3 linked regions of the Tamandua tetradactyla genome follow. The protein of the gene in region 1 purifies or fractionates together with the protein of each later gene. This does not show direct contact. Links are inferred from orthologs where the notes say so. Each region holds a gene or a part of one and is shown in the gene's direction. Other genes may lie near its edges.

Evidence for each region. The genes of interacting proteins can lie anywhere in the genome.
Region 2: the proteins of VBP1 (region 1) and PFDN5 purify together in Homo sapiens (affinity purification with mass spectrometry; 7 studies listed by BioGRID and IntAct, counting the BioPlex papers as one, with this or other methods). This does not show direct contact. The link is inferred for Tamandua tetradactyla from reciprocal best matches to the Homo sapiens genes VBP1 and PFDN5.
Region 3: the proteins of VBP1 (region 1) and PFDN2 fractionate together in Homo sapiens (co-fractionation; 8 studies listed by BioGRID and IntAct, counting the BioPlex papers as one, with this or other methods). This does not show direct contact. The link is inferred for Tamandua tetradactyla from reciprocal best matches to the Homo sapiens genes VBP1 and PFDN2.

The regions. Positions count from the first base shown.
Region 1 is NC_135353.1:904,412-911,927, reverse strand, and holds the start of VBP1 (prefoldin subunit 3), read left to right. Parts: upstream 1-4,511; 5' UTR 4,512-4,550; coding exon 4,551-4,643; intron 4,644-7,516. UniProt on the Homo sapiens protein: Binds specifically to cytosolic chaperonin (c-CPN) and transfers target proteins to it. Binds to nascent polypeptide chain and promotes folding in an environment in which there are many competing pathways for nonnative proteins.
Region 2 is NC_135333.1:114,655,976-114,663,363, forward strand, and holds PFDN5 (prefoldin subunit 5), read left to right. Parts: upstream 1-4,376; 5' UTR 4,377-4,436; coding exon 4,437-4,508; intron 4,509-4,706; coding exon 4,707-4,809; intron 4,810-5,112; coding exon 5,113-5,144; intron 5,145-6,185; coding exon 6,186-6,260; intron 6,261-6,378; coding exon 6,379-6,484; intron 6,485-7,180; coding exon 7,181-7,257; 3' UTR 7,258-7,383; downstream 7,384-7,388. Other genes in the region: ESPL1 (separin), read left to right, coding at 277-404, 539-661, 1,145-1,300, 1,421-1,591, 1,718-1,822, 1,992-2,107, 2,280-2,363, 2,531-2,695 and 1 more. UniProt on the Homo sapiens protein: Binds specifically to cytosolic chaperonin (c-CPN) and transfers target proteins to it. Binds to nascent polypeptide chain and promotes folding in an environment in which there are many competing pathways for nonnative proteins.
Region 3 is NC_135330.1:14,265,204-14,273,120, reverse strand, and holds the start of PFDN2 (prefoldin subunit 2), read left to right. Parts: upstream 1-4,905; 5' UTR 4,906-4,938; coding exon 4,939-5,013; intron 5,014-7,917. Other genes in the region: DEDD (death effector domain-containing protein), read left to right, coding at 390-766; NIT1 (deaminated glutathione amidase), read right to left, coding at 2,123-2,389, 2,650-2,775, 2,920-3,053, 3,272-3,375, 3,482-3,736, 4,099-4,194, 4,756-4,808. UniProt on the Homo sapiens protein: Binds specifically to cytosolic chaperonin (c-CPN) and transfers target proteins to it. Binds to nascent polypeptide chain and promotes folding in an environment in which there are many competing pathways for nonnative proteins.

The DNA.
Region 1 (7,516 bases):
ATACCTGGAAAAAAATAGAAAATCATAGATAAAGTCTGATGCTCCTTTTATCTACCTTGTCAACAGATGAGAGGAACATATGGAATAAAAATAAATAATGGGGGGAAAAAAGAAAATCATAGATAAAATCATAGACAAAAAATAGAAAATCATAGTTTTTTCTTTTATTATAACAATAAAAGAATATGAAGTAGCAACAGCTCTCCACTGAGCTCTATGAATTTTGAATAAATAAACCTGTTTAACATTAAAAATAAAACTCCCATTGTTGTTCACTCAGGTGATCCCAGGAGTTTCCCCAGGTAGCCAAAGGGTCTGGGAGAGGGATAACCTTCTTCAGCAGCATGGCCCCTGGAAAGGGACTGAGGACAGGGGAGGCCACCTCAACCCACAGGTGGATATGCCAAACAGTACAGGTTTGGCTCCATTCTGTGGCAATGAGGCCTTAGTTGCTGTGCTGAGCTTGTGGGGTGTTGCTTCTATGACCTAGGGCATAATGGGCATTTGGGAACACACGTCACAGGGTTAAGAAACTCTGTTTCCAGGAGAACTACCTATGTGGTCAGCTGTTGCCACTTGAATGGTGTATTAGAGTGTCTTGCATTGGAAGACATAGGGAAACTTATGGCCATCACAGGTGTTTGTTTTACTTTACAGTTGCCAGAATGCAATATGCCAGAGATGGAATGGTTTTTAAAATGGGGGATTTATTAAGTTGCAATTTTACCATTCTAGGGCCATGAAAATGCCCAAATTAAGGCAGCCAGGGAAAGATACCTTGGTTCAAGAAACTGATGATATTCCGGTTTTCTCTCTCAGCTGTAAAGGCACATGGTGACATCTGTTCACTTTCTCTCCAGGCTTCTTGTTTCATGAACTTCCTTGGGGATGTGTTCCTTCTTCATCTCTAAAGGTCACTGGCTGCATGGGCTGTAAAGCTTTTTCCAAAATGGTGCCCTCTTAAAGGGCTCCAGTAAAGAACTCCACCTTGAATGGGTGGAGACACATCTCCATGGAAGTCATCTAATCAAAACTTACCGCCCACAATTGGGTGGGTCACGTCTTCATGGGAACAGTAAAAAAGATCCCGCCCAGCAATATTGAATGAGGATTAAAGATCATGGCTTTTCTGGGGTACATGACAGTTTCAAACCCGCACAGTGGTCCACAGATTACAGGAAGTATGAGAGGAGGTTGCTAAAGCTCCTACAGTGATGCTACTAACAAAAATGCCTGTTGTATTACAATTTGGGTAGATTCTAGAGCCTTTTGTTATAGGGGGCTCCATTCAAGATGGGTTAATTTGCAAGTATCAGCAGAAACAGGATTTAGTAAAGTTTGGGAATGAGGCTATACTTCTGGGGGTTCCTCTCTATTCTACTCATACTTAGAGAGAGAACCTCAAAGCAGTATCAGCAAGGTTAGGGGCCTCCTCCATGGCGATGGTTGAATTAACAACTTGGCTGTGCCACAGGGTGTCAAGGGTGCTTTTGCTTATAGTCCTGAGGAGCAGGGTCTTTTTTGACAACAGAGCCATAGTCATTGGTGGTAGCAGAAAAAATATTTTGTAAGGTGCTAGTGTGTCATTTGCTTTATGGAGTGTAACTTAAGTATGCAGCATTGTAACTGCTCTTCATCCACAGTAGTGACTAGCCAGATGATCTAAACATGCAGAATATTGGACATTTGTCTGAACGATCTAAGAACAGGAGTCAACACCTGTTTGAACACACAACCAATGGTCAGAGGGTGAGTCCTTCCCCCTCCCCCATTCCTCAAGAACCACCCCATCTCCTCAGACCTACAGCCACCTGCTTCTCAGTCCTGCCCCAGCCTTAAGGAAGTTTCTAGGGGTGTTTACTTGGCTCAGAACTGGTACAGACACCCCCTTGAACTCAGCTTCCTGGTTGTGCCAGCAGCAGCAACTTGTCTGACTCAGTGGCTGACAGTCACTCTATCCCAACACCCCCACCTATTACTGCCCTCTGGCCAGTCCTCCAGCCCTGCACCCTCAGCAGTACCCATACTATTATGCTTACATTATTAACTTAAGTAAATAGTTCACATTGGGGTTCACTCTTCGTATTGTACAGTTCTATGGGTTATTAAAATTAAAAAGTAAATTCCCATTTTAACCTCTTTTAAGTACAGAATTCAGTGGCATTAATTATAGTCACAATGTTGTACTACCATCACCACCACCCATTACCAAAATTTTTTTATCTCCCTAAGCAGAAACTCTGTACCAATTAAGTATTAACTCCCCATTCTGCACCGCATCCCTGCTGCTGGAAACCTGTATTCTAATTTCTGGCTCTATGAATTTGTATATTATATTTACTTCATATAAATGAGATCATACAATATCTGTCCTTTTATGTATGCCTTATTTCATTCGACATGAGGAAGAGTAGACAACATTTGGAAGGCCTTCTAGCTCAGGAAAAACAGAATAAGCATAAGACTAGTTCAGAAATATGTTTGCTATATCATGAATTATGAGACCCATTCTGCTTAAAATGGATGATGATGAGGACAGATGTGGTGCATAGAACTATTTTAGGTAATAAAGAACAGTGGACTTAGAGCTGAATTATTTGGGTTCTTCTTCCAGCTCAAACCCAAGATTTGCTGTGGGATTTCAGGCACAGCTGTTCCCTCAGCTTCATCATTCATATTATGAGAGGATCCAAATAGATTCTTGCCAGTTCCATAACTTTCTGCAGTAATTGGGAATAACTCCAGTTGCTTTGTATTGTAAGGAGCCTGAGAGTTCCTGCTGTGGCCTGCCTTCGTGGAATCTGAAGCATGATGTACTGGCTTTCCTGGGCTGCCCTCTTACTTTGACTCATTTTCCAGGTGGCTTTGGTTACTTAGCACCCTGATACAGTATTTTATTGCATGTAGATTCATTTCTTGGCCTTGTGAGGCCCTTTGATCCCTACCTGATTCTGTTGCCACCCTACCCTAACAAGGTCACTTATCTGTTCATATGGTCCAGACTGGCAGGATGTAACAAGGTATGGATGGAATGGAGGTAATGGATGTAAAAACACTTGGTTGCCCCACTGTGTGGCTGGCACTAGTAGGTATTCATATATATATATATATATATATATATATATATCATTTGGCAAATATGGTTTTCATTTAAAATTATGAGTTAGGTAGTGTCTTTTTCACCTGTGATCCCTTAGTACCTGGTATGTTACTGTTAAACATTTCCCTGTTATTTTATAAAATGTTCACTTTAAGGCCGTTTACTTATCTGTAAATAGGCAATGATAACAGTCCTTCTCACACAGGGCTGTGGGCACAAAGTTAGGGTGTAATATTAGCCATTATTATCATTACATATGTGTGTCCCCATCAAGTAAGAGAACTGAGCAAGACTGTTTTTCTTTTGCCCAAGCTCCCAGATTCGGTCCTCACTAGCTCTTACTAGCTTCCTCCCCTGCCCTGAATACCTTGACAGTAATCTTGAAGCTGAGGGGCTGCAGAAAAAAACTGAAACTGCTGGGGGTGGGGGGGAAGGAAAAGACCAGTTGACAACTTCAGACCCAAAGTAGGCTACCTCCCTCCACGTTCCCCTCCCCATCCGTTCTTCAAACAGATGACCAGTTTGTCCACTGCCCTCGCCCTGACTATAAAACTTAAATCAGCCCCCTGCCCTCCTCGGAATTGAGTTTTTCTCTCTCTTCCCTATGATGGCAGCTGTGGATAAAGTCATCCTTCCTCATTTAACATGGTCCCGTGCAATTTTTTCTTTGGCAGAACTGACATTTATCTCTTATTCATAGACGACCTGGCTTATGGTAGGCTTTGGGTGAGTGGGTGAAAGGCCCCACGGGAAGCGCTCCAGCGAAAACAAAGGCAAGAACAAGCACGGTAGGTAGATGTTAGAAAAGAGCTCAAAAGAATAACTACTTGGGTCTGTATGAAGCTCTTGCTTTCAAAGGGTTTTATAGAGCATGATGTTGGGAATGTCTGCGGGCCTAGAAGTCGAGGTTTGGTAGTAGCCTATGAAATTGTAAAAACGTTGAGCTGGACAAGATTCTGATTAAAGGTGGCTCTCCAGAAAGGTGGTGCAACGGACGTAGTATTGATTTCAATCTGGCCAGTGGCTGCATTTAAAACAGATACAAAGTAAGTAAGTCCCCTTTAAGGGGTAAGAAGCTCTCTCCTGAATGGTGGGACGGTGATAGTGCAGCCTGTTCCAGGGAGGAGTGGGGTCCGGCCTGGTCCCTGATTCCTAGGGCCCTACACGAAATCTCCGGGCCTTTTTCCCAGGAGTCCGTACAGGTCCTTCCCACAGCTCCTGCCTTCTTCTCGGTTGGCCCTTCCCATGCTTCTCGCGCACTTGCTGGAGGCCATGCAGCTCCCCCTGGTTGGGCGAATCTTCGCAGGGCAAATGGCGGCCCCTTTCTGCTGGCCAATAAATGCACAGACTCACCAGTGAGGGGCGGGCCAGCAGGTGATTGCGAGCCAATCACGTGTCCCCGCTGGCTGGCGGCTGGGGAGACGCGGGGTTGCCGGCTCGTTCCCTCAAGATGGCGGCCGCTAAGGACTCTTGTGGCTTTGGGGAAGTGAGCTTAGGGAACGGGCGGCGACTCCACCTGGGAATCCCCGAGGCCGTTTTCGTGGTAAGAGGCACGCTGGGCCCGGACTCCTTGGCCCAGGCCGGAGACCAAGACCTACTGCACGGCTCCTGGCCCCCCCCACCCTGGTCTTGGCCCTTGGACCAGGTCGCGGAGGGAATGGTGTAGGGAGGGCTTGGCCCACTCTCCTTCCCGTCGGCTGGCCGGGCTGGGTTCCGCTGGGGCCCAGCGGGAGGAAGCGGGCCCGTGAAGAGAAGGGGATGCGGGAGCGCGGGGCGGGTGAGCCGGGGAGCGGGGGCCGACGTCGCGGGGAAGTGAGGACGGGGCCCCGGGGTCGCGCGACCCGAGGGACCGCCGCCCCGCAGCCCCGCAGCCCCGCAGCCCCCGGGTCCGTTCCCTGCAGCCTTCGGGAACCTGGAAAAGGAGCGGCGGCGGCGGCGGCGAGCGCATCGCTCCCCTTACTGGTTGGAGAGACATAAGTGGATAATTAGAATACAAGGGATCGAAAGCAGTGGGTAGAACAGCTGTGTTTAGGTACGAAGGTAAGGAAATAGTCTGTGGAAGGAAAGCAGTGGTTGGTTGCCTCTTGGGGAATGGAGGAAGACACTGAAGGGAAGGTAAGGTAGGGTGAGATGCTCAAGTCCTTGTGTGTCCGACTAAGGAATTGAGACTTTTTCCAGCAGCCGATGGACTGTCATTAAAAGGTTTCTCAGTTAAAGCCACGACCTGTGTGGAGTTGAGAGAGGAGGCAGGGGAAACCAATTTGGAGGCCTCACCCAAGTGGAAGACCAACCCATGTCCAAACAAAGAGAAGCAAGTGGGCGCTAGCCACCCTGCTCTTCAAAAAGTTTCTTCAGGAATAGTATTTGAAAACTACTTGAATAGTGAGACAAAACCTCTAACTGGGCATTCCGGCCAGCTTTACCTGTCTTTCCCCATTTGCTTCTGGCTGGGCCACTATAAAAGCGTTAATAGAGTTTTCTAAACCTCTTGTATCTATATCGCCATATCTGTACCTTTTGCTAATTTTGCCTCATATCCTTCAGAAGACCCATTTCTTTTATTAGCCACCTTTAGACCCACTTTTTATTTTAGAATATAAATTAGGATTCTCATTTTGCAGATGGTGAAACTGAGTAACAGAGCATTTGAGTAACTTGCTCCAGGTCACAGTGACAGGGTGTAAAGTTAGGTAGTTAGAGTCTGAATTTGAGTAATCTGAGACTCTTGAGCCTTAGCATACTTGCTGCTTGCAGGAAAGCAACATAGTTCTCTTTTTCATTGCTATTTCTCTTGATCCTAGCACAGTGCCTGTCACAGTATAAGCTCATAAATTATTGTTGAATTAAATTTTAATAGATTTAATTAGTGTTGAATTAAATTTTCAATACTACATTCATGGTAGTCAGAGATGGCTTCAAAAATCTAATTAAGGAGGATAACTTTGAGGCCTTTATATATGGTCTTTTTTCCCTAAAATTATGGGTTTTTTTTCCCCTAGACTTTAAAATTTCTACCAACATGACAAATAAGTAATCCAAAGTCTACATAATCATTTTTATGTTCCCAGACTAACCGGAATAGCAAGGTATTGTGGAAAGAACACTGGCTTCTAAATAGACCAAGATTTCAATCTTTACTCTCCAATTGCTGTTTAGCCTTGAGCATATTATTTTGCCGCTTTGAGCCTCAACTGAAATAGGGATAACAGTACTTATAGAGTTATGAGAAACGGAATGTCCTTTCAGTATTGGAAATATAGTAAGTGCTTAAGAGATGTTAAGTTTCTAAGATAGGAGGCAGTATACCATAGTGGTTAGAAGTCAGACCTTGCCCTTTCTCCACTCCTACTGGTGTAAGAATTTGTTTTCTTTCTCTCTCTGCTTGAAATGTCCCTTTCTCATTGTTCATCTGAGAAACTCTTCGTCTTTCAACGTCTATTTCAAATGCTACTCTCTGTAGTTTTTCCTCACCCCTATGCCAAGACAGAATTTTTGTCACTTTCATTAGTGTTGTCATGGTACATTGCACACTTACTAGGTGTCATGTATTCTTCTAAACATTTTAAACATACAAACTCATCCTCTTTGAAGAAAAGGTACTTTTATTCATTTTATAAATGAAGTTAAATAATTTCCCCTTGGTCAGTACAGCTAGTAGGTGGTGATGCTGGGATTCAGACCAAGCAGCCGTGTATTGTAAGCAAAATCTTATGCTGCTATGGTTAATTCTCCTTGCTAGTTTCTAAGCTCCTATCCTAATCACATATACAATGTGCTAAAAACTTTAATTTTTTTCGATTTCATATGGTAACCCTTCTAAGATGGTATCAACTCAATTTAAATGCCACGCTCAGCCATTCACTCTTAGCCTCATCTTTTCAGTTTCTTTTTGTCTCTAGCTTGATTTTTACTCCTTGGCTATATTTCTCTTCCTTTTTTCATCATTCCTTATTTCAGCTAAATTATTCCCTTGTAGCTAATATGCATGGATAAGAATAATGATGTGGAGAGCCCAGAAACCATAAGGTAATCAAATTTACTTATAAGGAAGAGAAGTTCTTTAAAGTACTGGAAGACTTTTTTAGAATCTTTTTCAGGTTTCTGTGTATTTTCATCGAGTTCCTGATCCTTACCTAATTAATTAGGTTTTTTTCAAGGACCAGCATTTAGTATACATTAAAACCATGACTGTTGTGTTTTACTGCTTTTCTTTTTGCTTAATTATTCCTGTTACAAAGATTGTTTTGTCTTTTTGGATTACTTAGTATGCAAGGAGGCTTTTGTGGCTTGCAGTCTGTTCAGCACAATAGGCAAGATGTTTGATTGTTGGTAATTCTCATATTTAATACTAAAGCCACATGGGGAAATGTATAAAGCAAGCAAGGTCATCTTTCTCTCCCTATTTGTAAATACAAC
Region 2 (7,388 bases), on another chromosome or scaffold:
AAAGTGAAATGTATTACAGATTATTTGAGTATCTCACTGTGCATGGCCCTTTTTGTTAGCAGCCGTGAGAGACTCTAAGAAGTACAAGACATGGTCCCTGGTCACAGTGAGCAGTTAGGGCAAGGGAGAGAGTACCTGAACCCAAATAACCAGGGATGGCTTCTTGAAGATTTATTTTGAGTTGTCTTGAGTGATGGATTGGGATTAAATGCAGAAAATAGGAAAGGGAATGCCTAGTAACAGCTGAAATGTTTCTGAGTATGTTCTCCGTGTCAGGGGTGATTGTCTGTGTGCTGGCCTTGGCCACCCTCCAGCCTGGAACTGTGGGGAACACCCTCCTGCTGACCCGGCTGGAAAAAGATAATTCTCCAGTCACTGTGCAGATCCCCACTGCCCAAAACAAGGTAGGTTTCCAGGACCAGGGTGCAAAGTAGGGCTGTGGGGGGCTTCTGGTTAAGCTGCTCACATTCTGTGGCTGGGGGATGGAGAGATGGCATTTATGTGACCAGCAGAGATCTTACAACCCCATGTCCCAAAGCTTCCTTTGAGTTCAGCCCTGAATGAGTTTGATGCCATCCAGAAGGCACAGAAAGAGAACAGCAGCTGTACTGACAAGCGAGAATGGTGGACAGGGCGGCTGGAACTGGACCACAGGATGGAGGTTTGTGTTCCTAGGACAAGCTGAGGTCACACCTGCCCTAGGAATGACCCAGGGGATGCTAATGTCTTCTCTGCCAGGGGTCCCAAGTCAGTGCTGAGCTACTGTGAGTCCTTTCTGAAAGTATAAAGCATGAATTTAAAAATTGCATGACTTTAATCAAGAGGCCAGAACTTGAAGAACTTATGGCAATGGAATGTTTAAAGACACACAGAAGATGAAGGCTGTAAGCCTAAGTATCAGCTGCCTGGCAGCAGCTCTCCTGGCTCACGTGTTCACAAATTTGTCAAAAAAAAAAAAAGATTGTCTATAATAAACAGTCTTATCTGTAGCCTCCCACAGGCCCACCAAATGAAAAATGTTTCTAGCTTCTTGCCTTTTCAACTGGCAGAAAGAAGTATAGAACAAATATCCATGGTGGAAAACCTATTTCCTCATTTCCAGAAAGAAACTTGTCTTCCTTCCTCTCTCTTCTCCTGTACTCAGGTTCTCATCACTTCCCTAGAGAAGGATGTGTTGGGCTGCTGGAGAGGGCTGTTGCTGCCATCCAGTGAGGACCCTGGCCCTGCCTGTGAGGCCTCCTGCTTACAGGGGTTGCTGCAGGAATGTGGCTGGAAATATCCTGACCCTACCCTGCTAAAAGTGAGTTAGAAAAGCAGGGAAGGGGTAGAAGCAGTAAACTTCATTCTTCTCCACAAGCCCAATAGCCATTTTGACTGGGGCTAGGGTTTACGGCACCCATGAACCTGTGTTCCCCTGCAGGTCATGCTCAGTGGTGCCAGTACCCTCAGCCCTCAGGAAATTCAGGCCCTGGCCTATGGGCTGTGCCCAGCCCACCCCAAGCGAGCCCAAGAACTTCTGATTGAAGCGATAGGACGTCTTCAAGGTCAGACAGTGCCAAACAAGAAGCACCTTGTCTTGGTGCTGGACAAGGTAAGGAGCTAGGAGGGTCAGAGGGCTGTGCCTGATGGGCAGTGGGCACCAACCTACTCCCACACTTATTTTTCCTCCTGTCCATACCTGGTTAAGGACAGTAACATCTGATTGCCTTTTGTGTAGGACCTGCAGAAGCTGCCATGGGAAAGCATGCCCACCCTCCGGGCACTGCCTGTCACCCGGCTGCCCTCCTTGCGCTTTCTGCTCAGCTACTCTGTTATCAAAGAGGTGGGGCTTGGGGGCCTTCCTTCAACTCGAGAGAGCTGAAGGAAGAGAGAGGCAGAGACCTGGAGAGATGGGAGAGGGTCTTAGGAGTGGGTTGGATGTGGAGAGGGGCTGTTGGAGCTTGGGCCTCCTGGTCAGACCAGGGTCCTGATCAACATTATCTACTCTTCAGTCTGGGGCCTCATCCGTGCTCAGCCAAGGGGTGGATCCACGCAACACGTTCTACGTCCTGAACCCTCACAATAACCTGTCAAGCACAGAACAGCAATTTCGAGCCAATTTTAGCAGGTCAGGGAAGGGGCAGGGGTGAGGGCAAGAAGACGGGTGGGGAAGGGTAGAAACAACTTGTAGGGGCAACATGTCCTTGTCTCCACCTTCTACCTAATGTTCCCTCTCCCCTCTTTGCCACATGACCCCTGCCATGCAGTTCCCTATTCTCACTCCTACCTTCTCCCCACAGTGAAGCCGGCTGGAGAGGGGTGGTGGGGGAGGTCCCAAGCCCGGAACAGGTGCAGGCGGCCCTGACTGAGCATGACTTATACATGTGAGTGCTTACACCAGGGAGCGGGGAAAGGGGTAGTCTCAGAGGATGGAACATCATGGTCTGCTTTGGAGCTTTAAAGCCTCTGGCTGACTCAGGATATTTCTGGAGACATGGACAGAGACCTGCTACTGCTAGTTTGAGGCTGACCTCACCTGTTTCTGCCCTAGCTATGCAGGCCATGGGGCTGGTGCCCGCTTCCTAGATGGACAGGCTGTCCTGCGGCTGAGCTGCCGGGCAGTGGCCCTGCTGTTTGGCTGCAGCAGTGCAGCCCTGGCTGTGCATGGAAACCTGGAGGGAGCTGGCATCGTACTCAAGTACATCATGGCCGGCTGGTGAGTCTTGGGTCAGGTGCATCCTAAAGCATTAAAGCTCCTGCTCCTAACCCCAAGTTCTTTCCGAAATCTGAACTCTGAATCTCTCTTGTGACTCACTTTCCTCCCATCCTAGTTTCCTGGCATGCCTGGTTGAGCCCTTTAATGCTTTGCCTCTTCTAACCTCCTCTTGGCACTGTGGGACGAGGGAGTCCCTCCTTGGCTGGATCCTCTCCTCCTCCCACCTCCCAGCAATGTTTACTGTGTATTTGTTTGAGATCCCTTATTATTTTGTATTTCTTCCTTCTCTCTTCCCAGTCCTTTGTTTCTGGGTAACCTCTGGGATGTGACTGACCGTGACATTGACCGCTATACAGAGGCTCTGCTGCAAGGCTGGCTTGGAGCAGGCCCAGGGGCCCCCCTCCTCTACTATGTCAACCAGGCCCGCCAGGCTCCCCGTCTTAAGTATCTTATTGGAGCTGCTCCCGTGGCCTATGGCTTACCTGTCTCCCTGCGGTGACCCCTTGGAGCTATTGTATATCTGGTAGAAGCCAAGTGACTCTGTTACCCCCCAACTTAGATTTTATCCTTAGAATAAATATTTTTAAGTGATTTCAGTGTTTTATATGAAATATTTCCTTTTAACTTAACCTTAATAAAGATATGTCACCTAAATACTGTTTGTGTAGCTCATTTGATAACATTTGTGGACTTCCTGCTTCCTCCCCACTAATCCCCCCCGGCCCCCACCATATGGTACTGTAAGTGCATGGGAACAGCTTTCAGGAGTTCAAATCTGAGAGCACTGGGGATAAAAGGCAAAACCACAGGACAGAGCTGGGCCTGGCTGGGTCTCAGCAGACAAAGCTGAAGGAGAGAGGGGTAATAAAATGCTCTTAGTGGGAACAGAGGCCCAGGGAAAAGTAGGGACCCATTGTGAGCAACTTGGCCAAGTGCCATCACGTCTGTCTTGTCTTTCTCCTCAGGTATCCTGGGTGTGACACTAGCTTGGTGCCTCTGTTATCTTGCCCCCCTTCCAAGTAGATGTCAGTGGCTGCTGTTCCTCTTTCACGTACAGCTGCTACACACTTGTCAGTGCCATGGACTTAAGCAGCAAATTCTGTGGGATTCTGCTCCCTGTGTATTTTATTTATTTATTTATTCATTTGTCTTCTCAACTAGATTGTAAGCTCCTGTGAAGTACAAATTATATCTTACGCTAGTGTATTCCTCACATCTAGTATATGGTAAATACATTTTGTGCTGAACTTGTTAGTTGTAATGGTACCTTCTTACTGTTCTCTCCACCTCTGGACACTCTTCATCTTCATTTGACCAAAGGACCGTTTTCACAGTGCTATGCCCCCTCCCACAGAACTTCACAGGCTTCCTCCTGGCCTCTCAGTTGCCACTCACGTGGATTTTTACCACTCACATGGAGCAGCTTACGCTGCTTGTGGTAATGTCCCGGGTACTTGTCTTATCTTTAAGATTTTTAAGTTCCTTGAGGACAGACGGCAGAAATCTTGCTTGCTACAACTTTACTGTGCTATGCTTGGGATGCTTTGTGAAAGGGATGCGCTCTTACCTTCTCGAATCAAAGGCGAATCTCGGGAATTTCCAGCCCCTCCTTCCTGGGACGGAGGAACATAGAGATATCCGGCGCAGCGAGGCCTCCTGGCGCTACCATCGAGATGCGCAGAGGATGGCTAGAGCGTAAAGCGCCGAGCCGACTTCCCTTTCATTAGCCCTCCTTCTCAATATGGCGCAGTCAGTTAACATCACGGAGTTGAGCCTGCCGCAGCTAGAAATGCTCAAGAATCAGCTGGACCAGGTGGCGACGGACCCCTGAAACACCCTTTTCCCGCCTCACAGCTCCCCTGCCCAGGCGGACTCCTCGCCGCCATTCCTCCCCTGTTTGGGAAACCTCCCTTCCAAGGCGAAACCGCCACCGCATCCCCGGTCCTGTCCCCTCTTCGGCCAGACTCCCCTGACGCTCCAACCCGTTGACCATCTTTCCTGTTCTCTGCAGGAAGTGGAGTTCCTGTCCACGTCCATTGCCCAGCTCAAGGTGGTACAGACCAAGTATGTGGAAGCCAAGGACTGTCTGAACGTGCTGAACAAGAGCAACGAGGGTATGAAGTAGGCGTGCGAGGGCCACACGCAACATAGGGAGTGTGGTTAGCCAGTTTCCCCTCTCTTCCCGCCGCTTCATCCAGTTTTCCTTACCCGAGGCGCGAAAACAATCCATTGCGTATTGTAAGAGCCCTTTGCATGTTCCATACCTAGAGTTGAAATGTACAGAACTTTCCTCTGTTTCTGTTGCCCCTGTTTCGTCCTTTTCATACTGGGTGCTGTACTATGTTGGAGTTCCCTGTAACGTTTTAATGTTGGCGCTGCCAACCTTCCCCAGGTGTTTGTCTTAATTCCTTTCACAGGGAAAGAATTACTTGTCCCATTGACCAGTTCTGTATCCTTTCCACAGGAACTGCTGCCCTGACCTCTCCCATTCACCCCTTCCCCCTCCACAAAGAGGAGGTAATTTTGATTACTTCCGAGTCCCTTTCATTCATGATTCTGAAAACTTCCAGCTCTCTTTTTTAATCTGGGGCTGCCTACCATCCAGCTACTGCCTTGTAAATTACCAAGGGGTGTGTAAAGTTGAGCTGCATTATTTTCCTTTGCTGTTTGAGGATATTAATCTAATATAGGGACAAAACTGGTAGTTTACACTTTTGCTAATAATCTGGATAGACGACATAGCAGTAGAAGAATAGGGTATAGAAACAGTGGTTGGCTCTGTTCCTTTTTCTTTTTCTTTTTTTTTTTTTCCGCATGGAGAGGCACCAGGAATTGAACCCAGGTCTCCAACATGGCAGGCAAGAATTCTGCCACTATTGGCTTTGTTTCTTAATCTTCAATTTCAGCTTAATTGTGGCTTTTTTTCCTAAATTGCCATCTCTGAGAAGCCTGGATTGTGTCCACCTATTAAGTGTTTTTGTTGTATGAACAATTTATGGCAATAGGTAGTCTGAGAACTGACAGGCTAAAAGAGAAACAAAGGAATAGCAGTACAGTAGGGAAAGGTTAAATAATCATTAAATTCATTAGGAACTAGGTAGTACAGGGTTGGAGGTATTAAGGGGAAGTGAGTCTGGGTTTTCACCTTTACTACTCTAGAAAAGTAGGAAAACATCATTGTATCTAATCTTTCTGGAAGAGCTAATGGGAAGAATTTGAGAATTGCTTGTAGGGTGGGAGATGGGGTCAGGGCAAGAGAGTGTGCTAGCATGTGACATTCTCTCCACAAGGAACCACTTTTTCTCTGCCTCTCCCCATTGGAGTTTTTAAGTATAGTTCTAAGGGCTTCTGATTATTCAGAAAAGGTTATATTCAGTCCCTTTGCCTTGAAGCTTTCTAGAGAAGGTGTGCCTTCAAAGGCCAAGCAGACTGACTTACTGGAATTGTGGTTCATACTGGGATAGTTTTTCCCTTAATCCTTGCTTCTCAGATGTACGTCCCTGGTAAGCTACATGATGTGGAACATGTGCTCATCGATGTGGGAACTGGCTACTATGTAGAGAAGGTGAGTTTCTAGAAGCAAATGGGTGCCCTTGTGAGCAAGAAAAGGGAGCTTAGGAGAAGATCTAAGCTGTGATATATGGTGTCTCCTCTTACCTCTCATTTACCTCTGACCTGTGCAGACAGCTGAGGATGCAAAAGACTTCTTCAAGAGGAAGATAGACTTCCTCACCAAGCAGATGGAGAAAATCCAGCCAGCTCTGCAGGAGAAGCATGCTATGAAGCAAGGTAAGCTTGACGTAGGCCATGTTTTGTCCCTTTCTACCTCCATGATTAAGAACATGGATTGCAGTGTGAACCCATAGGGTTTAATCTTGACTGGGTTAAAGCCATATCTTTATTTCTCTTCCTTTGGTGTTTTGGTGTGTTATTCTCTAGCTTTTGTGTACTATCTGTAGATTTCTGGGTTGGGTGCCTAGGATGGAAATCATGTCCGCTCTTACAGAGGTCTTATTTAATGGAGATGGAGTAGGGGATAAGATAATGTAAATGAGTATACAGGAAAGAAACATAGCACTAAGTAAGTACTAGTGATTGCTACCTTAGCTGCATGTTAGAATCACCTGGGCCTGCTCCACACCAACTAAATCAATCTCTGGGACCTTGTTCCTTAGGCATCAGTGTTTTTTAAAAGCACCCCAGTTACACAACCAGGATTGAGAACCCCTGTTCTAAACGCAAAAATCTTTTCCACGTTATATCTTGCAGTTAAGTTTGGCTCATTTAATACCATAATTTGTTCATTTTAGCACATTGACACATTGTAGGCTATAAGTTTGTACCTAGTGTGTCTGTCCCCCTATCACTGGTTAAAAATTGTATTAACAAACTGTAGCTGGTTGTCTCCCTTTGCTTTTCTTAACTCTAGGTCCTCTCCTTCCTTTAGCACTGGCCAGTGTCTGAATCTTCCTTTTTCTTCCCCAGCTGTCATGGAGATGATGAGCCAAAAGATTCAGCAGCTCACAGCCCTGGGAGCAACACAGGCTACTGCCAAGGCCTGAGCTTGTTGCAGAAATGGGGTTAGAGGGCACCCTGCTTCAGGGGCCTGGACTTCGTAGGAGTGGCTTTTTGGTGTGGGGAAGATAAGGGCCTTGTGTTTAATGCTAATAAATGTCATTTGGGCACAGTGTTG
Region 3 (7,917 bases), on another chromosome or scaffold:
AGTTGAATGGCATCATATCTGCAAGTAATATTCCCTCTATCTTTGTGGCAGAGTATATTTCAACTCTTTTTAGTTAATACTTGATTAAACGGATCTTGATTGGAGGATGAAGAAAGTCATGATAGAGTATTAAAATAACTTGTGCTTGTTAAGTTATAAAATATCCCCCATTAGGCAGGGGCTGGAAGGTGCTTCATGTCAATGAGGGAATAATGCTGACTAGGCATGTCCCATGTAAGGGAACCGCCTACATTCAGGCAAGGATTTCAGAAGAAATCCTGGGGAAGAGGTAGAGAAGCTGGCAGATGATAGACCATTTTGCTACTTTGCTGTTCAACATTTCAAACTTGGATTGAAATCTCTTTTTCCCTGTAACTTCTCTTCCTCAGACATCAGACTCCGAGTTCGGGCTGAATACTGCCAGCATGAGACTGCTCTGCAGGGCAATGTCTTCTCTAACAAGCAGGACCCACTTGAGCGCCAGTTTGAGCGCTTTAACCAGGCCAATACCATCCTCAAGTCCCGGGACCTGGGCTCCATCATCTGTGACATCAAGTTCTCTGAGCTCACCTACCTCGACGCATTCTGGCGCGACTATATCAATGGCTCGTTACTAGAGGCACTTAAAGGTGTCTTCATCACAGACTCCCTCAAGCAGGCTGTGGGCCACGAAGCCATCAAGCTTCTGGTGAATGTGGATGAGGAGGACTATGAGCTGGGCCGACAGAAACTCCTGAGGAACTTGATGCTGCAAGCATTGCCCTGACCTTTCCCCATCTCACCTCTGTGGGGACTGTTCCCATCCACCTCTGGAGCTTACATACTGTTCTGGGGTTTGTTCTTTACCCTTCCAATCACACCCCCTGCCTTTTTTTTTTTTTTTTTTAAGGTAAAGACAAAGGAAAGTGGAAGTGGTGTCCCCACCCCTCCCTGCACCCGTGTGCTTGGGCTTCCCCTTTGTTTCCCTTTTCCAAATACCCCTAATTTGTGTCTCTACAGCTACCTTACCACTGAGCCGTAAGACAAATGTGTAGGGAAAAGAAAAGTCTATAGAACAGAGTCTTCATAAGAGATTGACGTGAACACTGCTTTTGGGTGCAATGAGGGGTTATCAATACTTCTGGCTTTATGAGGGCTCTTAAATTTTGTCTGCAAAACCAAAGGGCTGTGAGTAAGGGAGCTATGTGGAAGGTGGGTCTCAAGTGTATTTGGAAATTAATCACCATCCTCTCCCAAATTACAGAATTTTTATAAAACAAAGAAGCTGTGGCCCTTTCCAGTCTCTCCTGGCATCTGGTGCTGCTCCTCTCTGCCTCCTTTCCTCCATTCATGGCTTGAAAACTTTGCCTGGTGTGGCTCATTTTTTCCCCGTTTAGAAAATCCTCTTTAAGAGAGTAATAGGTAAGAGAGAACTGGGTCAGCCTAGTCACTCTTCCAACTGTAGTGTGTGTGTGTGTTCACACATACATACACAGGATAGGTGGAGAAGACGTTGCTGAGTCGAAAAGGTACACTCCCCCTAAAAAGGGGAAGGGGGAGTGTGACATTTTCCTCCCATGTTCAAGTAAAAATAAATAATGTACCCTGCAGCCCTTTTCCCCTTTGCTTTCTTCTGGCTTGGGCAAAGGGCATCACCAAGTGAAGTAATTCAGTATCAACTCTTTTCTTTTTTCTTCCCCATTCTCTAACCCCTTGGGAGAATGGGGCTGGGACATGCACTGAGTGTTGCACTTTTATTTACATAGGGAGGCATGCTGAATGAGCCAGGAAACCTAGAACTGGAGCCTAGACCAGCAGATGCAATACCACCTCCCTTTGCAATTTCCAAAGGAGATATCCAAACACAGACTTTATGATTATTATATTTTTCTCAATGCCAGTGCTGCTCAGCCCTCAGAGTTACTCCAGTTTTCATGAAATAAACAGTGGCTATATAAAATTCCACCTTTCTGAAACTGAAATCTGAGCTCAGGTGAAAGTTTCTTCTTTCCCAAGAAGCTGAGCCTGTGTCCCATCAAGAGTCAAGGTTCTCCGAGTGAGGGGAGCTGCACCTGGGTCCTGCTCAAAAGTCATGGCACTACCAGCTCATAATGGGAGTCTCAACTCACAAAAGTCAAAAGGCTTAAGATGATGGGTGACCCAGATTGCCATAGAGGTCAGGCCTGCGGTGCTGGAAGACAGGCAGGTGTTGGCGTAACTGTCGCAGATAGTTGAGGTCAATTCGGGCAAGACAGAGACCTGGCCCCTCAGAGCAGCGTGCCACCACTGTTCCCCAGGGATCCACCACCATGCTGTGGCCATAACTTGATCTTGTCTCATGGTGGCGCCCACATTGTGCTGCTGCCACTACATAGCACTGGGTTTCAATGGCACGGGCTCGCAGCAGCACCTGGAGGATGAGGAGATGTGTGTTTACTTAACTACATGCAGTTGCTAATGAAGAAGTGACAGGAGATGGATGTTACAGACCAAGTGTATGATGTACCCACTGTTACCATTCTGATTATTGCCAAGGAATGGTTTACTATGTTTACTATTTTGTAACACATGAGAGCCAGGCAACAATCTAGGAAATGACTTCCTACCAAGTAGGAAGGGGAAGAGAAGGTTAAGGAAAGGCCCTTAAGTTTCAAAGAGGTGTCCTCTTACCTCCCAGTGGGCTGGGCCTGTAACAGATCCAAAAGCTGAAGGGTAGGTAAGTATTTCTGCTCCAGCCTGAGCCAATGCCAGGGAGAGTTCAGGGAACCGCAGGTCATAGCAGATAGCTAGACCAATCTGTAATAGAAAGTAACCTGCTTAAGCCCCCTTGCCTTGCCCCTTTCCTTAGAGCTTTATATCCTCTACTACCACCCACTTCAAAATATTTCTATTCCCCTCCCTCTTGTGCCTCTCCCACCCTCATCCTTTCACAACTCCCACCTTGCCTGCTGGTGTACTGATAGGTGACTCAAGGCTGGGTCCAGGTGTGGTAGAGTTACTCTCATGCATGGGCCCCTGCCCTGGAATCTCTACATCACACAGATGTGTCTTTCTGTAAGTGGCTACCACTGACCCTAGAGTAAGAGGGAGAAGGATACTCAGTGCTGATGTGCTAGGAGCCCAGTTTAGCTCCTCCCCTCCCAAGAGGAGATGACTTATAGACTAGAAACAGAAGTACAAACACCTCTAAAACCCTAGGCCAAGGAAGCACTGTTGAGACACACAATTCTAGGGACTTGAGTTTAGGAAGACGAGCCTGGGAAAGGTAGGCTAAACAGTTGTAAAGTCTCACCCTTGTTGTTCAGAAGCACATGACAATTGTAGATTTTCTGAGTCTGCTCCCAGTCTTGGCCACGCTCATGAAAACCACCCAAGGACAGCCAGAGTCCACATTCCCTGGAGAGAGGGGGACATTGAAAACTCTCTCAAGGCTCTATCCTCTTAACCTAAACCAGGAACACTGCCCAATGATTTTACCTCTCCCTCCCCCTTTCCCTGATACCTGGCAAGCTGGGTATATTCTCCCACAAGGTTCCCACCCAGTGGCTCAGACAGGCGTAGTGTCTCTGCAGGGTCCCGTGCAATGAAGTCAAATGCCTCAGGCAGGAAAGCCAGGCAAGCACCCAGTCTGGCAGCCTCTCGAACCAGCTCAGCACACATTTTAAAGTTCTGTTGCTTGTCTGGTGTTGATGTTACCTGACACACAGCCACCAGAGGCAGTTCCCAGGAGGAAGAGGAGATGGCCATGGCTCTGGGCCTGTGAATGACACAGGCAGGATTATCAAATTTCTCAGTATGAGGAAACCCTAGTTTAAGGATAAGGGACTCAAATGGGGAGTCAGGAAAGCTAATTTCCTTTTTTTTTAATGTATGGGCAGGCACCAGGAATCGAACCCGAGTCTCCAGCATGGCAAGCAAGAACTGTGCCTGCTGAGCCACCGTGGCCCACCCTAATTTCCTTTTGAATCTGCTCTTAGAGGATACACTGACTTAGGCCTAGTGGGGCTTGCCAAGCAAATGTTCTGTGGATGGCTGGCACACCACTGTCTCCCACCAACCATTCATATAACAAGCATTTTTCAATATGTTAGACAATCAGAACACAACAAAACTTGTTACCTGGGCTGGGTACAAAGTACTGAGAGTCGAGGTATCCGGAGTCCAGGACACAGAAGAAGGGACAGGAGCTGGTTAGGCCTGATGATGAAGCCCAACCTGAGAAAGGTGAGAAATCAGGACACCAACCCCACCCTCAAGCAATAACTTCCTAGAGTTTTCTAACTTCTCTTCATACTGCGAGGTGGATCAGGGTCCTGCCAGTAAAAATAAGTCTCCAAAACACACTTTAAGTAATTATGGGCTACAGGAAGAGATCATAAGGTGGGAAGATAGAGGACGGAAAGCTGTTCAGTGCCTGAATATCTCGACTTCCAGTCTTCCAGTGATCTAACATTAAATTGAACCCTTTTCCCGTGCTAAACGTCTCCACAGTTCAAAAGTCACCTCCGGGAAACTTTCTTGGTTTTCCCAGGCCTCTCTTCTTGATTCTGCATCTGCACAGCTTTATTGGCTTAAAGTATATTTGCCCCCCTTACACCGGGACAATCTAGGGGAAAATTCACCCTCCCCTGTCCTCGGCCACCCCACGGGGGCAGAGGGCACAAGAACCCGTATCCCAATCCGCGCTCCCAGCCTCCAGACAGCCACTCCTTTCCCGCCTCTGCCAGGGGACAGCGTCTCTGTTACACAAGTTAAAGCACCGCAGGTGGAATTCACCGCGGCCGGCAGGATGGGGAGTAGGTCCTACATGAAGATACGGCCAAAACCATTCGCAAGAGCCGAACCGAAGAGCCGCCAAGAGCTAGAGAAGCCAGGGACGAGTGGGCGGTAACATCGAGACCGGATGTGGCGTCAGACGGAGGCTGAACTGCGCAGGCCGGAAACCGGCAGGCGGCGAAGATGGCGGACAACAGCGGTCGTTCCGGCAAGAGCTGCGGGACCGGCGCCGGGAAGGGGGCGGTGTCCGCTGAGCAGGTGAGAATCCGGGAATGCCAAGAAGAGTATCTCCCGCAGAGCCCGGAGTCAGTGCGCGAAAGGGAGGGGTCTGTTGCTTGTACAGGCCTTTGCTCCAATCCTCATGGCCACTCAAAGAGGGGAGGGTCCTTGGAGAAGCTAGGTGAGCTCCGGAGGAGAGAGTGGGCGGGTGGCTTGGTGAAAGCTCGACATTGTCTGGGATGGTAGGTAAAACCGGAGTAAGGGAAAGCCCTGGTTTGTAGGGCCTGGGAGGATGTACAGATCTGAGGGAAGATAGGTCGTCAAGGAATTGCCCCACCTCTCCTTTGCACCCCCAAACAGGGTATGGTCGGGCAAGGCAGTCATAACGAATCGCAGGAGCTTAGTTAACGGGCTGCTTTCGTAGTCTGTTTTGTGACCCTGGAACCACGTTGACAGTCGCCGTCACTCTGCAGAGCCACGTGACACATATTCGAACAGTTTAGTGTTCAATACTATTTTGATTCTGGAGTCTTTACTAGATTGAATTTCCTGATAGACCAGAAACCCTTTCTGATAGGAATTTGCATTTCTCCCAGTACCTAACATTGGGAAATGTTTGATAAATTAGCCAGAGAGCCTTCTGTAACTAGGAACTGTAGTTTGATAATAGTGGAACTAGTGTTTAATCAGTATGAGAAGAAACATTCACAGTAGAAATGAAAACAAACAACAACGTGCACACTATAGAATGAATTAATCAAAGGCATAAGGTTGCAATTTAAACTTGGCTATTTTAAGTACAAGTTCATTCATTAGTTATTTGTTGACGGTGTACAACAGGCAAAGATGTCTGTATAAAGATTTTTATAACTGCTCCTGCCATCCAAGAACTCATAGCCTGGCAAGGAAAATAAAACATGCAAAAGTTATATGAGACAGAAGACCAATGTCTGAAGAGAGGTGTAAAGTGCTGTGGGATTTGGGGGAGGGGAAAAGAGAAAGGGAAGAAGGAATGAAATACTTTTTTTTTAATGAGAGAAATTATGGGTTTACAGAAAAGTTGGCATGAAATAAAGAATTCCCATACACCACCCCACCGTGGACACCTTGCACTGGTGTGGAACATATATTACAATGGATAATAGCAGGTTTTAATAATTATACTATTAAAGTCCATAGTTTAACTCAGGGTTCACTGTGTAGTGTAATTCCATGGATTTTTGTTTTAAATTTTTACTGGTAACATATGTGCAATCTAACGTTTCCCCTTTTAATCACATTAGGATATGTATTTCATTGCTGTTAATTGCATTCACAATGTTCTGCTACCATCACCACCATCCATTACCAAAACATTTCCATCATTTCAAGTAGGAACCCTGTACATTTTAAGCCTTAACTTCCTATTCCCTATCCCCACCCATCCCTGGTAACCTATATTCTAGATTCTGACTCTATGACTTTGCTTATTCTAATTGTTTCAAAACAGTGAGATCATACAATATTTGTCTTTTTGTATCTGGCTTATTTCACTCAACATGATGTCTTCAAGGTTCATCCATGTTGTCACATGTATCAGGACTTCATTCCTTTTTACTGCTGGATAATGTTCCATTATATATAATATACCGCATTTTATTTATTCATTCATCAATTGATGGACACTTGGATTGCTTCCATATTTTGGCAATTGTGAATAATGCCACCTTGAATATCGGTGTGCAAAAAACCTAATATATTTTGAGGGACTCTGATGTGCCAGGAATTTTGCTGGGTGCAGGGAAACATAAACAAAATAGTCCTTGTTTTCTCAAATGAGAAAAGACAAACTGAACAGTACAAATTTACAGTGTGCCACACAGTCCGTCTTTTGGGACATCTAGGGGAGGAACCCATGACTAAGCAGGAGGTTGTGGAATTTGGGAGGTAGGTGGGAAAGGGAACTTTGGTATGGTGGGTATAGCTAAGAGCATAAAAACAAGTGCACTGGGTCAGACAGACCTGAGTTTGAATCCCATTTCTACTCTTTACTATAGATATGACCACCAATGAGTTACTTCTTAGTCTTCCCCATCTGTAAAAACATAATAATAGTACCTACCTTATCCCTGTATTTTGCAAACTATGTAAGACGATGCACATAAAGTATCCTTGAACAGTGATTAGAACATAATATGTGCTCAATAAATGCTACTTGATTATCTTTGTTTTTTAGCTGTCTCTCAAGATGTCTTTGTTGGATAGTAATGTAATAGGGAATGTAAAAGGACAGACAAGTTTGGGGGAAAAGATGAGTTTATTTCTCAGTGGAGACTGAGGAGTTGTGATGTTGAGTTCTGAAGCTGCTCCTTGTTAACATTCTCTGTCTTTGTTCCAGTGAGAATACTGGGTAAAAAATAGATTTATTTCTACAGCAAGTTTGAGCCACATGTCCCTTACAAACAAAATGAAAGCAAGTAATACATTGTGCTAGGCACTTCACTTGTTTTATCTTCTGTTATTTAATGTTGCCATTTGAAGTAGGTTATATTATCCTCCTGACATTTGCATTTCAGAGGATTTAGGAGAGTTGGGGTAAAAAGTCAATTGACATGAATTACCACTGGTCACTTTTGCTAAATCACAAGGTATAAATTAGAAACACATGTGCTCCTTAATACTAAAGAAGTAAGTTGGGCGGAGGTCTTAGAAGACTTGGAATGCATGGCAAAAAACTTGGGAATATATGGTAAGCAGTGAAGGACCCAGAGAAGGATATATGTTATACTGTTGATCTTTTTGCCCTATTACATAATATAAAACATGTCCATAGTAGAAAATATAAGAATAAATATAAAGAAAGGAAAAGGAAATAAGTTGCTCATAATCCTACTGTCTGAATATAACTATTCTTACCATTTGGGGGTATGTCTTTTGAGAGTTTTCCCCTCTTATGTTTTTGTA